Caenorhabditis elegans: one gene and its partners. The protein of the gene in region 2 interacts with the protein of the main gene of each other region in a pairwise test. Each region holds a gene or a part of one and is shown on either strand. Other genes may lie near its edges.

Region 1 (3,613 bases), on a different chromosome or scaffold from region 2:
TTATACACCTGTTGATCATTCGAAAGGAATTCCTGGAGTCGATAGACCACCTGGTGGTAATAGGGATCGTGGTGAAAAGGTTCGGAGCAAGTCGCCAGTTACAGGAGTTGATAGACCACCAGGTGGAGACAGAATTGAACGAAGTAGGGATCGAGAACCGGGTGGTGGTGTTCCTGGGGTTGATCGGGCGCCAGGCAGAGGATCTCGTGGAATCGATCGCCCACCTGGAGGTGATTCTCGTGGTGTTGATCGACCACCTGGAGGTGGAGGAATTCCTGGAGTAGATCGGCCACCAGGAGGTGGAAGGCGCGGAGTTGATAGACCACCAGGATCTGGAATGCCTGGAATCGATCGGCCACCTGGAGGGGATCGAATGGGTGATAAGCAAAGAAGAGGAGCGAGAGGAGGTGTTAAGGAAAGAGAAAGAAAACGAAGAAGTAAGTTTATTCAACCTTTATTCCACGAAAATTCGAAATCCTTATGTTTTTTTTTAAATATTTTTAAATAACGCTTTATTTTTCAGGAGATGAATTCCAGCGAGGAGGTGGTGGTGGTGGCCGAGGCGGTGGCCGTGATGGTGGAAGAGATTATGGTGGTCCTCCGCAAAAATCTGGGCGACGTGATCGATATGATGATTAGTGAGTTCAGCAATGAGCAGAGATATAAAACACATTGAGAAAGTATACGAAAGCCCCTTTTTCTCAGCTATCTCGGAAAGTAACTTTACTTTCAATTGAAATTTTCGAAAATTTGCTCTAAAACTGACTCAAATAATGCCGATCGACACTTCACGACTTTGAGGCAGTTTGTCAAAAACTTCTCGAAGCCTTCAATTAAACATAAAAAAGTATTTGTGACTATTCGCGTTTCGAAACCCCAAAAAAATTTCAATTTTTCAAAATCTCGATTTCAGCGATCGATCGTATCAAGGAACAAGTGGATATGGACAAGATTATGATTCACAAACATATGGAGAACGTGGTTACGATGGACATTATCAAGGACAAGAGGATTATTATGGAAGGTAATAAAATTAAATATTTTAAAATGAAATTAATTAAATTTAATAAACGTTTCAGTCAAGAAGGATATGGAGAATATAATCAGCAACACTACGGTGAAGGATACGATCAACAAGGATATGGGCAAAATGGAGATTCATATTATGGACATGAAGGGTAAGGAAAATCACTTTTTTAATTGTTTGAATTGTATTTTTATTCAAAAATAATTACCTATTTTCAGCCAAGATGCATCGACATATTACCAAGAAGATGGCAGTCAATACTACAATCAATACTACGGTACTGCTCCTGCAGAAGGTGAAGCTTCAGCTGTAACTGGAACGGATTATCATGCAACATTCAGTGTACCACCACCACCGGCTCCCCCTCCGTCATAAATTTAAGAATTGGGAAAACTAAATATTTTTGAATCAAAAAACTTCCTTTTTCAATATTTTCTTCAATTCTTTCCCGATTTCTTTCAATTTCAATAGTTGACTTTTATTTATTTTTAATTTATAAAATTTCTTATATTCTTCTTCCTCCTTCTATTGTATGAATATTAAAAACAGGTCCTTCGACCCGAAAAATCCCCTTCTCAAATCTAGGTCATCATATCGGAGATAACGGACAATTATGCATAATATTCGAGATGATTATCATATCGGTCATATGAGGGGGCGGAGTCTCGCATACAGTAGTCCTTTGTCCTTGTGCGAGGGAGTTTATGAGTATAAAAGGGTCCCTGAGAGAGGAGAAATGGACACTTTTATCAAAACATTTTCCATCTTTGTTTATTTTGACGATATTTATTCGCTGATACGAATTTTTGCAATTTTTATCCCGGATACCGTATTTCTTGGCAATTCAGATTACGCGCAAATTCTAGAATAAACATGTTTTCCAGATCATGTCAGTGTTCGCGGGATATGCCGCGTGCACCCTCGGTGCCGTTTCGATGCTTCTCTGCGTCTCTCTTGTCCCACAAGTCTATCAGCAAGTCTCGATGCTCCGGGACGAGTTGACGACTGAAATGGAGGCATGGCGTCTCGAGTCCGATCAAATCTACATGGATATGCAGAAGTTCGGACGTGTCCGTCGTCAAGCCGGAGGATACGGTGGATATGGTGGATACGGTAGCGGACCATCTGGACCATCCGGACCATCTGGACCACACGGTGGATTCCCAGGAGGCCCACAAGGACACTTCCCAGGAAATACTGGATCATCGAACACCCCAACTCTTCCAGGAGTTATTGGAGTTCCACCATCAGTTACTGGACATCCAGGAGGAAGCCCAATCAACCCAGATGGATCCCCATCTGGTAAGTATAGAAAAAATAGTCCAAAGATCTTATATAAATTGAACATTTACAGCTGGACCAGGAGACAAGTGCAATTGCAACACCGAAAACTCATGCCCAGCTGGACCAGCCGGACCAAAGGGAACTCCAGGACATGATGGACCAGATGGAATTCCAGGAGTTCCAGGAGTTGACGGAGAAGATGCTGATGATGCCAAGGCTCAGACTCAACAATACGATGGATGCTTCACTTGCCCAGCTGGACCACAAGGACCACCAGGATCCCAAGGAAAGCCAGGAGCCCGTGGAATGCGTGGAGCCCGTGGACAAGCCGCTATGCCAGGAAGAGACGGATCCCCAGGAATGCCCGGATCTTTGGGACCAATTGGACCACCAGGAGCCGCTGGAGAAGAAGGACCAACTGGAGAGCCAGGAGCCGATGTTGAACACCAAATCGGACTTCCAGGAGCCAAGGGAACTCCAGGAGCACCAGGAGAGTCTGGAGATCAAGGAGAGCAAGGAGATCGTGGAGCAACTGGAATTGCTGGACCACCAGGAGAGCGTGGACCACAGGGAGAGAAGGGAGATGATGGACCAAATGGAGCCGCTGGAAGTCCAGGAGAGGAAGGAGAGCCAGGACAAGATGCTCAATATTGTCCATGCCCACAGAGAAACACCAACGCCGCTGTCTCTGGAAACCAAGGATACAGAAACTAATTTCACATTATTATTTGTGATTTGTGTTGTTGAAGAAAATAAATTATTTTATTCTCATAACTTTTTTCAATCGAAGGATGTTTTCAGAGAAGCATGTTATCCTAGTTCAGATAATCTCAAGAAATAGGCTTACTATAACAGAAAAAGTTAACTGAATTGCAAACATTTTCAGATAGTAGAAATATAATCAAAACACTTCCAAGCTTTGAAATAGAATACTAAAATATTAAAAAAAAAAACACCCTATTTCCCCAACGAAAATGTTTTGTTACTATTTAATTGAACGATTGTGAACCTATTTTACAAAAAAAGCATTTTGATCTACCAGTTGAACTCAACATATATTTATTTTCAAAAGAATTTCAAAAGATAGATCAAAATAGTTTATCTGAGTTTTTTCATTAATTTTTCCCATGAAAACAGATTCAATACTTGCGAGCATCCTTCTTGTCTCTCTTTCAATGATGCCCGACAAGACACACAGAAACTGTTTCTTTCTCTGCCGTCTCTTATGTATAGAGTGTCCCGAACAGCTGTTTGGAAACGATGGCCGAGTCTGAATGGCCTTGTCTTTTTCTCTTCTCGGCC
Region 2 (5,609 bases):
CGGCATTTTTGGGCCTAATTGGAAGGCTTTAATTTCCCTAGTTACCTTTCTTATCATTGTACGTTTTGGTTCAGAACTGGAATCAACTAGACATATTAGCAATAGAAATAGAGAAAGTACAGTACTAACTTGAACCATGATGGCCGCACAAGTGAACTTATGAATTTTATAACCGCACGGTGAGAGGCGGAAATAAAAATTAAAAGATTAAAAAACACAGTTTGATAGAAATTACTCGTTGTCTGAACTTTTTTAGAGATTAATCTATTTCTGCAGTACAGATCACTACCAAAATGAATACTATTTTGTAGAAAAACTGACGATCAAAAATTAAAAGTTTCATATTTTGTGACGGAAAATATTTTTTAGTTCCAAAGTTATTATAGAATAGTTTTGGCCGCATAATCAAATACAGATAATTTGCACAACTTCCTAGTGGAATTCCAAATAGTCTACATCGGAAGTACAGTAGGATCGCGTCGAGATATCGAATATGCTGTTAATAGTTGTTTTTCCTGCAAAGTTGTTTTTCACTGCACCGTGAGAACATTAGACATGTTTGCAAAGTGTAAAACAAAATTCATCAGGTGAACAAACGAAACAACAAACGGGGGAAAATTTGAATAACTGGGAACAATCGAATACATATAATAAAAAATTACTGAAAATAAACAAGATAACAAACGAAATTGTGCAATTAATAATCAACCATACGAATGTTTGAGATAGCACCGACAACCTCATCATAGCTTCCAATATCTTTGCGAACTGTGTTGATTAATTTCTGAGGAACCACTGGTTTTATTGTGTTCTTGGGTGTTTTGAGACCGATGATAATCTGAAAGAAATATATTTGCTAGTAGAATTTCAATAATTAATTTAGTTTACCTCATTAACATCTTCGAAGGACAGAACTGTGTAGAGAGTTGGGAAATACTCTGCGATATTCTTTTTAATCGACTTTCCGAATTCCGAATCGCGTGTAACCAAATTCAAACTAATCATTCCTTGTTCTTTCACCGAGTTTTTCATATTTCCTAGAGCTTCTGGGGTAAGGAAGGCGGATGGTGGGCATTGAAGAGCAGCGTTCTGACTTCCAGAAACATCCACAAAAATCACATCGTATTTCTCTTCTGGAAATAAGAATTGATTTGTAAAATAAAATTTGAACATGATATTTTAAATACCTTCAGGTTTCTTTGCAGTCTCCTGGAGATGAATAAGAGCATCTTGGATGACAACGTCAATTCTAGCGTCCGAATGGGGGAACGAGAAGTGAGAATTTGCGATTTTGAGTACTTCTGGATCAAGTTCCACAGCGGTTACATGAGCCTGAAACGAAAATTTAGCACTGTTAAGTTTCTAGACTTGATTGATACCTTTTTGAAATGTCTGACAAGATATGCAGTCAAAAGTCCACCACCTAATCCAAGAACAGCCATCTTACACTGAGCATCATTCTTGGCTAATGGTTGTTGCGGACTGATGGCTAGGGATCCGATCATCATTCTATGGAAATCGCATGCCAATTGATCGAGATCTATGACCGTTTGCTTCTTCTTTCCGGCTGTAATGTTAATTTTAAATTTTGAGGTGAGCATCATTAAACCGTTCTTTTTTAATTCTGATAAACTACCTCTCGTGTATTAACAAGATGGGAAATGTTATTCTTTTTCCACCGAAAATAATACAGAAGGATGTGCGCCTTTAAACAATACTGCAATTTTCAAATCTCGTTGCTGCTCAGTTTTCATTGATTTTTCAGTTGTAATAAATCCATTTTACTCTTTAAAGGGGGTTGAAAAATGAAATTTTCAACTACTAACTTTTCAGATAAGCTTCAGATTGTACCAGATTCATCGTATTCAGAAAAACTAGTCTTCTAGTTTGATTTCCTTCAACAGTAACTTCTTCAACACTCCAACCACCATTGATATCCGAACGTCCCGTTGAAACGGTTCGCTTAACATCGACTCCTCCGATGGATAGAATTTCGTACTGAAAATCGGGTTTTCATATGTTTCGTGTTCAATTCTACATACATTTCCAGTATTATCTTGTCTAACATCCAGCATTCCAACAAAATGTCCAATATCACTCTTCACACCGTCCATTCCTTTTTCATATTTTTGATTTCTGTTGAGGAAAACGATTGCGAGACGTTCGCGGCCACATTGAACACGAAGAGCTTTTCGTCCCTTTGGTGAGGCGAATAGCCATTCAGAATCACTGAAATTAATATAAGAATTCGAATTTAAAAATGTTTTCTATACAAACCGTCCAATTGGAACCACAAATGCGGCGAATGTGTCAATCTTCTTGGCTTCTGGATTATCAACAACACAGATACGATAACGTGGTCCTAATGATGGATCTGCTCCATGAAAGTCGATTGAAACTTCAGAGTCCAGCTTTCTAAATTAATTTCATTAATTTCAAGGGAAAAACTAAAATGAATTACTTCGAGCACAGGTAGATGAATTGTGAGAGCTCCTGTTCTCCACGAATAGAATCCTTCAATTCGTCAGTGCTATCGATACGATCAGTACGGATGGAGCTGGAGCGAAGAACTTCTAGAGGCTAAAAATATAGGTTTTATTTAAATAAAATAATTTGCAATTTATCTACCTACCAATGGATTTGGCATTGGTGCTCGCATTTTCGTGGCAATAAAGCAGAAAACTGGCATTGGGAATCCAGAAGCCTTGTTCTCAACTTTTTGAACACGTAGGATATATTGCTTTCTGGAATAACGTTTTACAGATTTTTGAGAAAAATGAATATTTTACAATGGATAGAAGTGATTAATCCAGAACTCGGTGATATGTGGTTGAGCCAATGTGACAATGATATATCTTCCACCAGAAGCCAATACACGATGAACTTCCTCGAACATCTTTGTAACCAATGCTTCATCGGATTCTGAAGCTGATGGTGGAAGAAGAGCGTCGAGAGTTCCTTTATCAATTACAATGGTATGTGCTTCATCGGCCATGGATAGCTATAACATATTATTTTCGAATTTCTTTTCTTTTAATTGTTCATTGTGCACAACGGGACATTCTCCAAACTCACATTAGCAGCATCTCCAGTCTCAAAAGTCATTCCGAGTCGTTCTTTATTTTTACGAATCTGTGTGGCAATAACAGATGGTTCTACATCAATACTGTGAATGCAATGAAATCCATTATCGTAGAGTTGGGTCGCTAATTCCGAATTACCACATCCAAGTTGAAGGAACGTGTCTTTCGGTTTCAAATATTTATCAATTACATTTGATAAAGAATTATAGTCACCGTACCTGAAAGAATTCAAATTTTTACATGAGAATCGAAAGCATTCAATTTTTGTGTATGTTGATGAGGAAAAATTTCTATCTAAAAAGAAGAAAAATGGTCAATATTTTAAGTTATTTTTCGAAACATTGATAATTTTTCTTTGACAAATCTGAAAAACACTTGATAGTGATGTGATAATTTTCTTTTAATTTTGTTTGAAAGACATCATATTTTAACAAAGAAATATAATTATTTAATTACCATTCGAATGGAGATTTTCGTTTTGCAAAGAAGTTCTTCCAGTACGCTGGATCCGTGAAAGATTGTGGCTCATTTGGAGCGGACATGGCCTGAAACTATAGAAACTAGAAAAATAATCATTTTAAATACTCGAAATAAAACATGAGGCTAAATGAAAACCAAAGAAAATAAAATTATAATTAAGAAGTAAAAAATATGAGAAACATTCATTATTAAAGTTAAGTAATCTTTTTTGAAAATATATCACATTGAAAATTGATAAACTGTCTTTGGATGATTTTGAAAATCCTGAAAATCCACAACCGGGGAAAAAAATCAAAAAGAGATGAAAGGATGACTAGGACAAATAAAGAGATAAATATTTTGCTTTGTGATTTGAATATTCTGCAGAAATTAAAGAGAAATCGAAGGCACAATGGGGGAAATATATAAAGAGGTCACAAGAAATATTTACAATTTGAATGCAAAAAGTTATATTAAAAAGATCAAATATCATCATCGCTCATTTCATCCAGTAGTCCAGACATTGCTACCGTTCCATTGTTCAGCTGAAAATCTACACATTTTTGAGAACATTTCGGGTAATTTTTTATTTATTTTTTCTTTAAAATAATTTCGAGCGATATTTGATTTTCCGATTATTTCAATATAAAACTCACACTTCCAAGTGCACCACCTCCTGCTTGACTCCTTCTTCCACCTCTTTCTAAATCTATCGAATTCCTTAATCCATCTCCTTCATCCTCATCCTCATCATCATTTAATTCGAATCCTTCGTTCGTCCGGTTACTCAATGGCCGATATCCTTGAACTGTATCGGATCTTCCCCAATTGGGATCAGATTTGAGTACGGTATTCTTACATCCATAAGCGAAGAATATTATAACAATACACATTGAAGGAATTAAAATAAGCGAAAAACTCCATGAATCCTGAAGAAAAATTATGTGCTTTTGATAAGCTTTAGAATTGAGTCAAATACTCTGTGGAATAACCTACCGTAATCTGATTAAATACGAAACCATGTGTCATTGGTAAATATCTGTTCTCTTTTAAAGCTCGTTTCACAATTTCCATGGTTCCATTATTTTCAGTTGGTGTGATACCAAGCACATGACACATTATATTGTACAAATCCACATTTGAAGGAATATCGGCAATCTGAAAGAATATTTATCATACAGTTCTCAAAATGCCTAGCTTATACCGTATAATTTTCAGAAAACGCTGGGCCTCTCATAATAAGGAAAGCTCTCATCTCTGGACGATCAGGATCTTGTCCGTGAGTTGATGAATTGAATTTTAATGTTCCGTTTTCTCCATATTGCCTGAAAGTTGATTTCAATAAACTAATCGTTGTAATATTTTTTCCGGTAAACGGATCAAACTGCCTTTTTTTAATATGATAATTCAAGAAAAAATGTCCCATTCCATCTAAAAATGATATTTGTTTTTGTTGAAAAACTTGACAAAGGTCTCAAATAGTGCCGTTAAAAGTTATTCTGCAAATGACAACATTCGGGCAATATTTAAGGTTTTTTTTCCAATTATTCAACAAAGCTAAATATTATTTTCAGATAGAATGCACCTGTTTCTGCATTACTATTGTTTACGTTTGCCAGAAAAATTTGCCGCACAGCCCGGTTGTAAACCACATACTTTTCCATAAGATCCTTCGTACACGAAAACGAAATCGAAGAACCGATTTGCGGCTCGAAAACGATTTTTCCAATTCGCGAACTGTTTCGATAATGCCATCTTTCTGGAACTTCCTCTCTCCAATGAATATTCACATCATATCCATGCTCTTTCACTGCTGATGTTAAATTTGCATAAATTTGTTTTCCAATTTCATCCGAGTGTGGATAAATCATATGATCACCCATTTCGAATCCAGCGCCAGATACATAATCTTTCACGCACATGACATGTTTGTGATCTGAATTTAGTTTTAGGAATTATGAAGATTTTAATTTCAACTATTTTAAATTATTACCTTTAATTTCTGCATGTCCATGATCAGCTGTTAGGATAATATTCACATCAGCTCCCAAATTATTATCATCGAAT
Region 3 (4,369 bases), on a different chromosome or scaffold from region 2:
GGTACGAAATGGGTCTGGGGTTCGATTCCACGCAATGACAGAAATTTTTTTTTATGAATTTCTAAACATGGCTTTACCTAAAAATCCAAAAGTGCACACTTTTACTAAAAAAAGAGCATCACCTTGATTCAATTATAATATCCTTACTCTGTCACGTGCCTACGTGCCTACATGCCTCTCTCATGCTAACCGACGTACCTACCTCATCCCTACCTACGTGCCTACACTCTTAGCTTATGCCTACACGCCTACCTGCCTACCTACAGCATACCTGCCTACGCGCCTACACTTTTACCTCATACCTACATGCTAACATCATGTCTACATATCTGCATACACTCCTACCTAATGCTAACCAACGTGCCTACACTCTTACCTGATGCCTACACAACTACATCATGCCTACCTATCTGCATACATGCCTATTCTCTAAATTTTTGCCTACACACCTGTCTCGTGCCTACCTCAAGCCTACCTACATGCCTACACGCCTATCAACTCCCCAAAAAACGAAAAAAAAAACGGTGGAATTTGTTGAAAATTCATTAAAAGTGAAAAAAAAATATTTTTATTTAATTGTACAAAATTTATCAAATTTGATGTCCACCGATTTGTGGAGGAGGACACGTGTTCGAGTGCGGAGCCAGGACCATTTTCTTCTCGCGGAGAGCATCTAGAAGGAGCCAACAGGCGACCGGGTTCTGAAAAATTCAAAATTTGGGCATAGCTTCCGCATCCCCAGTGACAAATGTGCTCTATTGCACAAATTGTTGGTTGGAATACGGTATTTATTGCATGTTTCAGCCGAGAATACCGATATTCTAGCCATCAATGAGGATAAAGGCACACAAGTCACAGATTATCAGTAGAGCGTATTTGCATTAGCTAGGAAATTCAAATTTCTGGCTAAAATTTGAATTTTAACGGGAATTTTGAACTTTTGGGGGAAAATAACGCATTTTTTGAGAAAAAATGTCAAAAACGGGTCAAAATTCGTGTTTTAATAGGCAAAAACACCTCAAAAACGCCATTTTCTCGGGATTTTCAGATATTTTCGGGCTATTTTTCAGATTTTCCAGGATTTTCCAAAAATTCCCTACAATTTGCTGCTCGGTCTCCGGTTTGCAGTGTGCCGACGCCGCTCGTTCACCCCATTTCGCAAAAAGTGGGTCCCGCGCATCGTAGATCGGCTTATTGTTTCCCCATAGTTGTGGTGGTGGTTGTTGCGTGGGCGGTGGTGCGGCGGCTGGAGCTCCCTGAGCTACACGTCCTACGGCTCCGAACATCACGTCTTGTGGCGGTGGTTGCTGGTGTTCTGCTGGTAAAAATTTGAATTTTTGAGTGTTTCAAGTGCGCTCTGATGCGAATTTTAGAGGGAAATTTGAATTTTTTGGCAATTTTGAATTTTTGAGTGTTTCAAGTGCGCTCTAATGCGAATTTTGGCGGTAAATTCGAATTTTTCCTAAAAATTGAATTTGTCGGTGTTGCAAATCAGCTCTAATGCGAATTTTAGCGAGAAATTCGAATTTTCTAGTGTCTAAAATGCGCTACAATACAAATTTTAACGGAAAATTCAAAATTTTTCTAAAGTTTTGAAATTTCAAGTGTTTCAAGTGCGCTCTAATGCGAATTTTGGTGAAAAATTCAAATTTTCACAAAATTTCGAATTTTCAAGTGTTTCAAGTGCGCTCCAATGCAAATTTCAAATAATAATTTAAATTTTCACAGAATTCTTGAATTTTCTAGTGTCTAAAGTGCGCTCTAATGCAAATTTTAGGCGGAAGTTTATATTTTAACAAAAGTTTGAATTTCCGAGTGATTCAAGTGCGCTCTAATGCTAATTTCAGCGGGAAATTCGATTTTTTCGTAAAAATTGAACTTTTCGGTGCTGCAAATGTGCTCTAGTGTGAATTGTAGCGGAAAACTGAGATTTTCGGTTCAAAATTCAACTTTTCATAAAATTTTGAAATATTGAATGTTCCAAGTGCGCTCCAATGCGAATTTTGGTGGAAAAATCAAATTTTTACAAAATTTTGAATTTCTCCGTGTTTCAAGGGCGCTCCAATGCAAATATCGGCGAAAAAGTCAAATTTTTACGGAATTTTGAATTTCGGCTGTTCCAAATGCGCTCTAATGCAAATTTCAGCGAAAAATTCAAATTTTCCGGTTAAAAACCGTACGTGGCGGTCTCTGCATCATCATATTCTGCATCATTTGTTGCTGCTGGAGCTGAGCTGCAGCAGCGGCTCTTTTCTGCATTTCCGTCTGCTCCATTCCTCTCAAATGATGTGCCATGTAGGCTTCTTGTGATTGTGCGTAGGCGGCCGCCGCCGCTTCTGCCTCCTTGTCAACTGCCGCCGCTTTTCGGTGCTTTTGTTGCTGAAAATTGAACATTTTAAAGTAAATTCAGCATTTTTGGGTCAAAAATTGTCTTTTTTCCAGATTTTTCTATAATTTTTAGGTTTTTTTTACGAACCTGTGACGTTCTCGCCTCCACTTCTTTCTCCCACTGCTCGAATTGCTGTACATACGAATTATAAGCCTCCGTGCCAATGGAACCCCTGAAAATCATCCAAATTTGCAATTTTTCCCCGAAACTCGAGTTTCCCACTTATTATTCTCCTTCCACTGCTCGAATTGAGCTCGATAGTCTGCGTATTGCTTCTGCAACTCTTCCTCTGATACCTGGAAATAGAGAAAAATCGATTTTCTGCGAAAAATCCTTGAAAAACGATAAAAACTCACTTTTTTCGAGGCTCCCGACATAATTATCTGAAATTTAAATAACTTTCTATAGATTTTATGAGAAAAAATGGAGAAAATCGACGGAAAACTGGCGAAAATCGATAAAAAACAATTTTTTTCAAAAAAATAAATGGTGGCCGAGGAGGGGTTTTCTAGGCCATTTTGACTTTAGACTCGGCCACCACGATTTTTTGAATTAATTTCGCTGATTTTTTCGCTATTTTTATTCATTTTCTCCCGTTTTTTCTGATTTTTTCTGTTAAAATCAATAAAAATTCCTAAAAATCCGATTTTTCTTCAGGTATGCAACCCGTTCTTGTAAATAGTCGACCATTACGGGTGAAATCGCACGAATCCGAGTCAAAACTCAATTTAATCGAGCAAGAAGACCAGTTTGAAGGCGCAAATTGTGAGTTTTTAGTGCCAAATTTGATTTTAAAGCTTGTAAATTCAGATTCAAGCTCGTCTGGTGTCATAATATGCTATTCGAATGGTACCGGAGAGGTTATTACGCAGGAGGCGTTTGATGTAAGGGAATTTCCAGGGAAAATCGATATTTGGAGTCCTAAAATATGCAAATTATTGATAAAAATCGCAAAAATTGCCTTAAAAACACGACGAAAAAACAGTTAAAAATCGAAAAAAAAACCATGATTTTCCAATTTTTTTTTTGCAAAAAATTTAAAAACTCGCAATTTTCAGGATTCCGGCATTCATTTTATCTTCTCAAAAGCCACGTGTATACAATATCCGTCAAATTTCGACCCAATCGGTGTGGGATCCGTCGTTCAGATCTTCTGGAGCCGGAGCTTCGAACGGGTGGTCCGCGGGAATCATATTATAGTGCAAATCGAGAAAATGGAGGTTTATAAGTGTAAGTTTGACCCGGAAATTCGAATTTCCCGCCAAAATTCACCCTGAAACACTTGCAAATTCGAAAATTCGGTGAAAATTCAAGTTTATAACCTAAAAATTTGAATTTCCCGCCGACCGGATGCTGCAAGCTCGCTCCACCGAACAAATCATGAGAAATTCAAATTTTCAGGTTGTGCAATGCTCCGCGAGCAGGTTTTCGTCACATTCAACTCCCCGTCGACTGCTGGCGTCGCAATTGGAGTCACCGAACGAAATATTACTGTAGCTTTCCATCCGAACTGCTCGCCTGTTATTCGCTACGAGACCTTAAAGGCGCATAGCATTGGACGCACCGAATTCGAGATTAAAGATGTACGGGAATTTGAATTTTCCAACGGAAAAAATGTGCTCTATTGAGAAAATTGCGAAAAAAACGGGGTTTTGCCTTTGAATTTTTAATTGAAAAAGTGAATTTTAAATAAATTATTGCCGAAAATTAGATTTTTCATTGAAAAATTTTTTTAAAAACAATTTTCTTCGAAGAAAAATTTAATTTTGGCTGAAAAACGTGCATTCTCCACTTAAAAAAACATTTCCCACCCACCGCGTGCTGCGAGTGCGCTCCAATGCAAATTTTGCATTAGCGCGCATTTGCAGCTTGCGGTCAGCGAGAAATTCGAATTTTTGGGTTGAAATTGATAGAATTTAACTCAAAAATTCAAATTTCCCGTCAGAATACTACTTTACACAGAATATCTCTACTCAAAAT
Region 4 (3,749 bases), 2.6 Mb from region 2:
CATGATAATGAATTTTTCCGCTGAATTTTACCAGTTTTCACTCACTTTAGGTCCTTTTTACCCAGTTTTTGACACCTTTTGGCAGGTTAATCGGGCGTGATCCAGTTTTAACTGTTTTGTGCCATTTTTAGTCAGTTACAGACAAATTTTGCCAATTTGAACGAAAATTTTGTCAAATTTCCTACCATGCAGCAGAACTGTCTAGCCGAGTGGCTTTCGGTAATGAGCCAAGCTTCCATGTGGCTCAGCTCAAAAAGTGATGATTCGTATTGTCATGTGGTGTCCATCCGCCAGATGACCCATGAACCTCGATTTTCACACCAAATATTCATGACTTCTTAAGAAACCACCCTCAAGCTTTTCTCACGTTTCCAACATCTTCTCTGCGTCTCTTGATTCTCCACGCTTTGATAGGTCTGAAGTTTGGAGCTTGGTCGCCAACACTTGAGAAGGAAGGATGATGGGAAAATGTCTGATGTGGAGTCAAGAATAGAACTGGAAAAGAGAACAGTGAGGTCTGTCTGGAGCCGAGAGGCTTCCTGGGCTCCATGGCTTTGCCGAATTTCACCCATTTCTAGGTGACAAGCTCGAAATTTCTAGATGACCGAGGTTTTTGCTCAGCCTTTTTGGAGAGCTTGAACTTTTCGAGCTTCTCCTCCTCTGCTCCTTGCACACACCAATTGTTTTTCTTATATACTTGCCACCCTTTTCCGTCCTCCATCTCCTCGTCACTCCATTTTCTAACACCTCGGCAACACACACACACTCTCCGGGTTTCAAACGCTGTCTCCTCTAAATGAGTAGTAGCATTGAATTATCGGTTAATCTACATCTCCACGCCGAATGACCAGCGAACAACATTTCATCGCGACTTTGATGAGGCGGCGGCGGCGTTGCATTTGTACATTTTTCTGTTTTATTTCTACAGCGTAGGATTTTTAGAGACCTAGTAGTAAATTCTATAACTTTCAGCTTAAAAGTACAAATAGTCCTGTACATGGCTAAACTCCCAGCGATTTTCGCCGAGCGCTGGCCCAATTGTTCCCATACGGCAATGAAAGATCCGAGAGATCCCAGAAGGTCATAGGATGATTAGAGATATCTGGAATCTGTTTTAGAATCTTTTTTTTTTTTTGAATTTTTAGAGCTATGGGGGAGTAATCTACGGGGAGTTTTAGGCAGCCTACAGTGGTTCTAGGCAGTCTACTAAAGTACTAGGCAGTCTACTGAGGTTTCAGGCAACCTACTACGGTTCTTGACAGCTTACTCGGCTCTAGGCAACCCACTGGGGTGTTAGGCAGCCTACTGAGGTTTTAGGCAGCTTTGAGGTACTTACGGTCGTCCAGAAGCCTCACGATCTTCTGGAATGTTGAAATACTAAAGTTCACCAGTATTTCCAATCAAAAACTTCATAGGAAAAAAATGAAATGGTCTTGTTAATTCAAAGGTACACAGACACGCATGTTTAACCTTTCTCACTTCTTCCAAATATTTGTTCATATTCGATGACATTTCCCCCCACCCCGACCAAAAAATGCCGTAATACGAGCACACATTTTCTGTCTCTGGCCCCAATTTGAACTTTTCCACTGAAAAATTCCCGTCTAAAATTTCAAAGTTTCAGCATCCGACCACCATGTGCTCCATGTGGCTCATGGCTTCATGGCTCATGGCTTTTGTGGCCGGCTCCACTCTCGCAGACTACTGTGGGGATCACAAGGTGCCATTTGGCATGGAGGTGCACAAAAATGGCAATGTGAACATTTTGTGCTCGCGGCCCAGTTGTCACGAGAAGAAGTATGCAGTGAGTTGTTTTTCCGGTTACACCGCATTTTACGATAAATTGCAGTCGGATATTATCGAAATTTCCACATTTTACAGTGAAAATTCGTATGTTTGAATTTTGTGTTTGTTTCTAGGTTATTTTCAAAATTTTCCCAGTTACTGTAGCTCCATGTATGTGTAAACACCAGATTTGACGCCAAATTGCAGAAAAACTTGGAAAACCCGGAAAACTAAAAAAAAACCCTATTTTAACACATTTTTGTCATACAGAAAAATATTTTAAATTAGTTTTTGAAACATTTCAGAAATTTCCAATCACAAGCCGACTACCGTAACCCCAAAAACCATATCTTACGAAAAAATGCACAGAAAATCGAAAAATTAACCCGAGAATTGTAAAAACGACGGTTTTTTTTCGAAAATTAGCAAAAATATCCGTACTGTAGCTCCATTTCCGTGCAAACACCGACTACAGTAACCCAAAGCACTGGATTTGACGCCAAATTGCACGAAATGTCGCAAAATGGCTCCAAAATGCGAAAATCTTACCGTTTCTAATTGATTTTTTGATATTTCATCAAATTATTGTCGAACGTTTTGAAAAACGATTTATTCTTAGCTATTTAGCCCATTTTTTAATTAATTTTGCTTACTGTAGCCCCGTTTTTGTGAAAACACCGGCTACCGTACCCCAAAACACTAGATCTTGCCACAAAATGCACAAAAAGACGAATTTAGGGTGAAAAATCGTGCAAATCCTAGTAAAAATCATGAAATTTATCATTTTCTCAATTTTTTCCAGGAATGCCCGGAACGAGCGACTTCAACGACATGCTCCACCAATTCCTCGTGGGTCGGGGGAGTAACTCAACATTCTGACGGAAGTCTGCGGCTTATGTGTTGTGAATATGACCTTCTTCCCACATATTCAACGATTCAGTATGAGAAAGTAGGGATTTTTGGCGGGAAATTTGAAAAAATTGGGGGAATTTTTCATGAAAATCCAAATTTCCAGCTTACTATCCGCACTGGCGAGTATTTCGAGGGCGATGAGCAAATGGAAGGGGATGTTGTGACGGCTTTTGACCTGATTGGCAATATTGAGCAAGTCAAAGAGCCCGATGGGTAGGTTTTTCTCGATTATTTCAAAAATTTTGCTCGGTTTTTGCAGAAAATACTCCTACAATCTCCTCATCTACCGCTATCATTGCGGAAATATTCCCGACACACCGCCGGCATGGTACATGAAGAAACAGTGGCCGTATTGGGAAAAATGAACGATTTTTCGGCGGGAATAATTTATTTTTTTATGTTTTTCTATGCGTTTTCGGGTGTTTTCGGGTTGCTAAGCGATTGGTTGCCTTTTTGAATCACTAGTCTTGGTTTTTGTTGTTTCTGTGAATGAATAATTGGTTTTTCGAGGTTTTTTTGTCAAACATGCCTAAAAAATAAATTATGACGTTTTAGTTGATTTGTTTGTTCTTTAAACGTCTGAAAATAAGGTTTAAATCTAATTTATTAATTATAAAATTCGTCAAAATAAGTTGCGCGTCAAATTATATGTATTGTACGCAGTGTCAAACTCCAGGCCTCAGTTTTCATGAATTTACCAGCGATTTTTGTTATAAATTTTTTTATTGAAATTTAAAATTTTTATTTTTCAACCAATTTGCCTCGAAAATTCGTTATTTCCCCATTAAAAACCGCTTTTCTAAAGTGTTGCGCGTCAAATAAAATGCCTGGTACGCAATGCACGGAGAATGCGCAAAGGACGACTGCTGGCGCACTTTTTGAATGCGGTAAATTGAGGCGCGAAGTTTCATTCGAAAACGCGCGCGAAACTTCATTCATCGCACTTTCTCCGTTCATTTCGTCCTATTTTTTTGTGGTTTTTCGCGATTTTTTCGCTTTTCTGAGTGAAAAAATAATTTTCCTTCGTTTTTTCAATGAAAATCCGCGGAAAA

What was found.
Region 1: the proteins of metl-13 (region 2) and dpy-17 interact in a two-hybrid assay, tested with the Caenorhabditis elegans proteins (one large-scale study listed by BioGRID).
Region 3: the proteins of metl-13 (region 2) and sut-1 interact in a two-hybrid assay, tested with the Caenorhabditis elegans proteins (one large-scale study listed by BioGRID).
Region 4: the proteins of metl-13 (region 2) and wrt-5 interact in a two-hybrid assay, tested with the Caenorhabditis elegans proteins (one large-scale study listed by BioGRID).

What each region holds. Positions count from the first base shown.
Region 1 is NC_003281.10:5,105,419-5,109,031, forward strand, and holds dpy-17 (Cuticle collagen dpy-17), read left to right. Parts: upstream 1-1,911; 5' UTR 1,912-1,914; coding exon 1,915-2,329; intron 2,330-2,381; coding exon 2,382-3,025; 3' UTR 3,026-3,073; downstream 3,074-3,613. Other genes in the region: F54D8.6 (C2H2-type domain-containing protein), read left to right, coding at 1-437, 524-638, 914-1,024, 1,080-1,178, 1,246-1,402. UniProt on the Caenorhabditis elegans protein: Secreted collagen that forms part of the nematode cuticle, which functions as an exoskeleton and a barrier to protect the worm from its environment.
Region 2 is NC_003282.8:6,633,108-6,638,716, reverse strand, and holds metl-13 (Methyltransferase domain-containing protein), read right to left. Parts: upstream 3,629-5,609; 5' UTR 3,626-3,628; coding exon 3,540-3,625; intron 3,302-3,539; coding exon 3,076-3,301; intron 3,002-3,075; coding exon 2,790-3,001; intron 2,745-2,789; coding exon 2,633-2,744; intron 2,581-2,632; coding exon 2,462-2,580; intron 2,416-2,461; coding exon 2,278-2,415; intron 2,230-2,277; coding exon 2,043-2,229; intron 1,999-2,042; coding exon 1,827-1,998; intron 1,568-1,826; coding exon 1,380-1,567; intron 1,333-1,379; coding exon 1,188-1,332; intron 1,134-1,187; coding exon 889-1,133; intron 839-888; coding exon 698-838; 3' UTR 562-697; downstream 1-561. Other genes in the region: C01B10.7 (TransThyretin-Related family domain), read right to left, coding at 46-138; C01B10.9 (Bis(5'-adenosyl)-triphosphatase), read right to left, coding at 4,025-4,087, 4,199-4,471, 4,539-4,700, 4,747-4,867, 5,199-5,478, 5,536-5,609.
Region 3 is NC_003280.10:1,120,488-1,124,856, forward strand, and holds sut-1 (SUppressor of Tau pathology), read right to left. Parts: upstream 2,779-4,369; 5' UTR 2,767-2,778; coding exon 2,746-2,766; intron 2,686-2,745; coding exon 2,612-2,685; intron 2,562-2,611; coding exon 2,477-2,561; intron 2,380-2,476; coding exon 2,181-2,379; intron 1,319-2,180; coding exon 1,101-1,318; intron 702-1,100; coding exon 591-701; 3' UTR 526-590; downstream 1-525. Other genes in the region: eri-3 (Reverse transcriptase domain-containing protein), read left to right, coding at 3,049-3,154, 3,200-3,273, 3,448-3,619, 3,791-3,972.
Region 4 is NC_003282.8:4,049,506-4,053,254, reverse strand, and holds wrt-5 (Warthog protein 5), read left to right. Parts: upstream 1-1,615; 5' UTR 1,616-1,636; coding exon 1,637-1,804; intron 1,805-2,587; coding exon 2,588-2,734; coding exon of another isoform or gene 2,735-2,800; coding exon 2,801-2,910; intron 2,911-2,956; coding exon 2,957-3,062; 3' UTR 3,063-3,249; downstream 3,250-3,749. UniProt on the Caenorhabditis elegans protein: Intercellular signal essential for a variety of patterning events during development.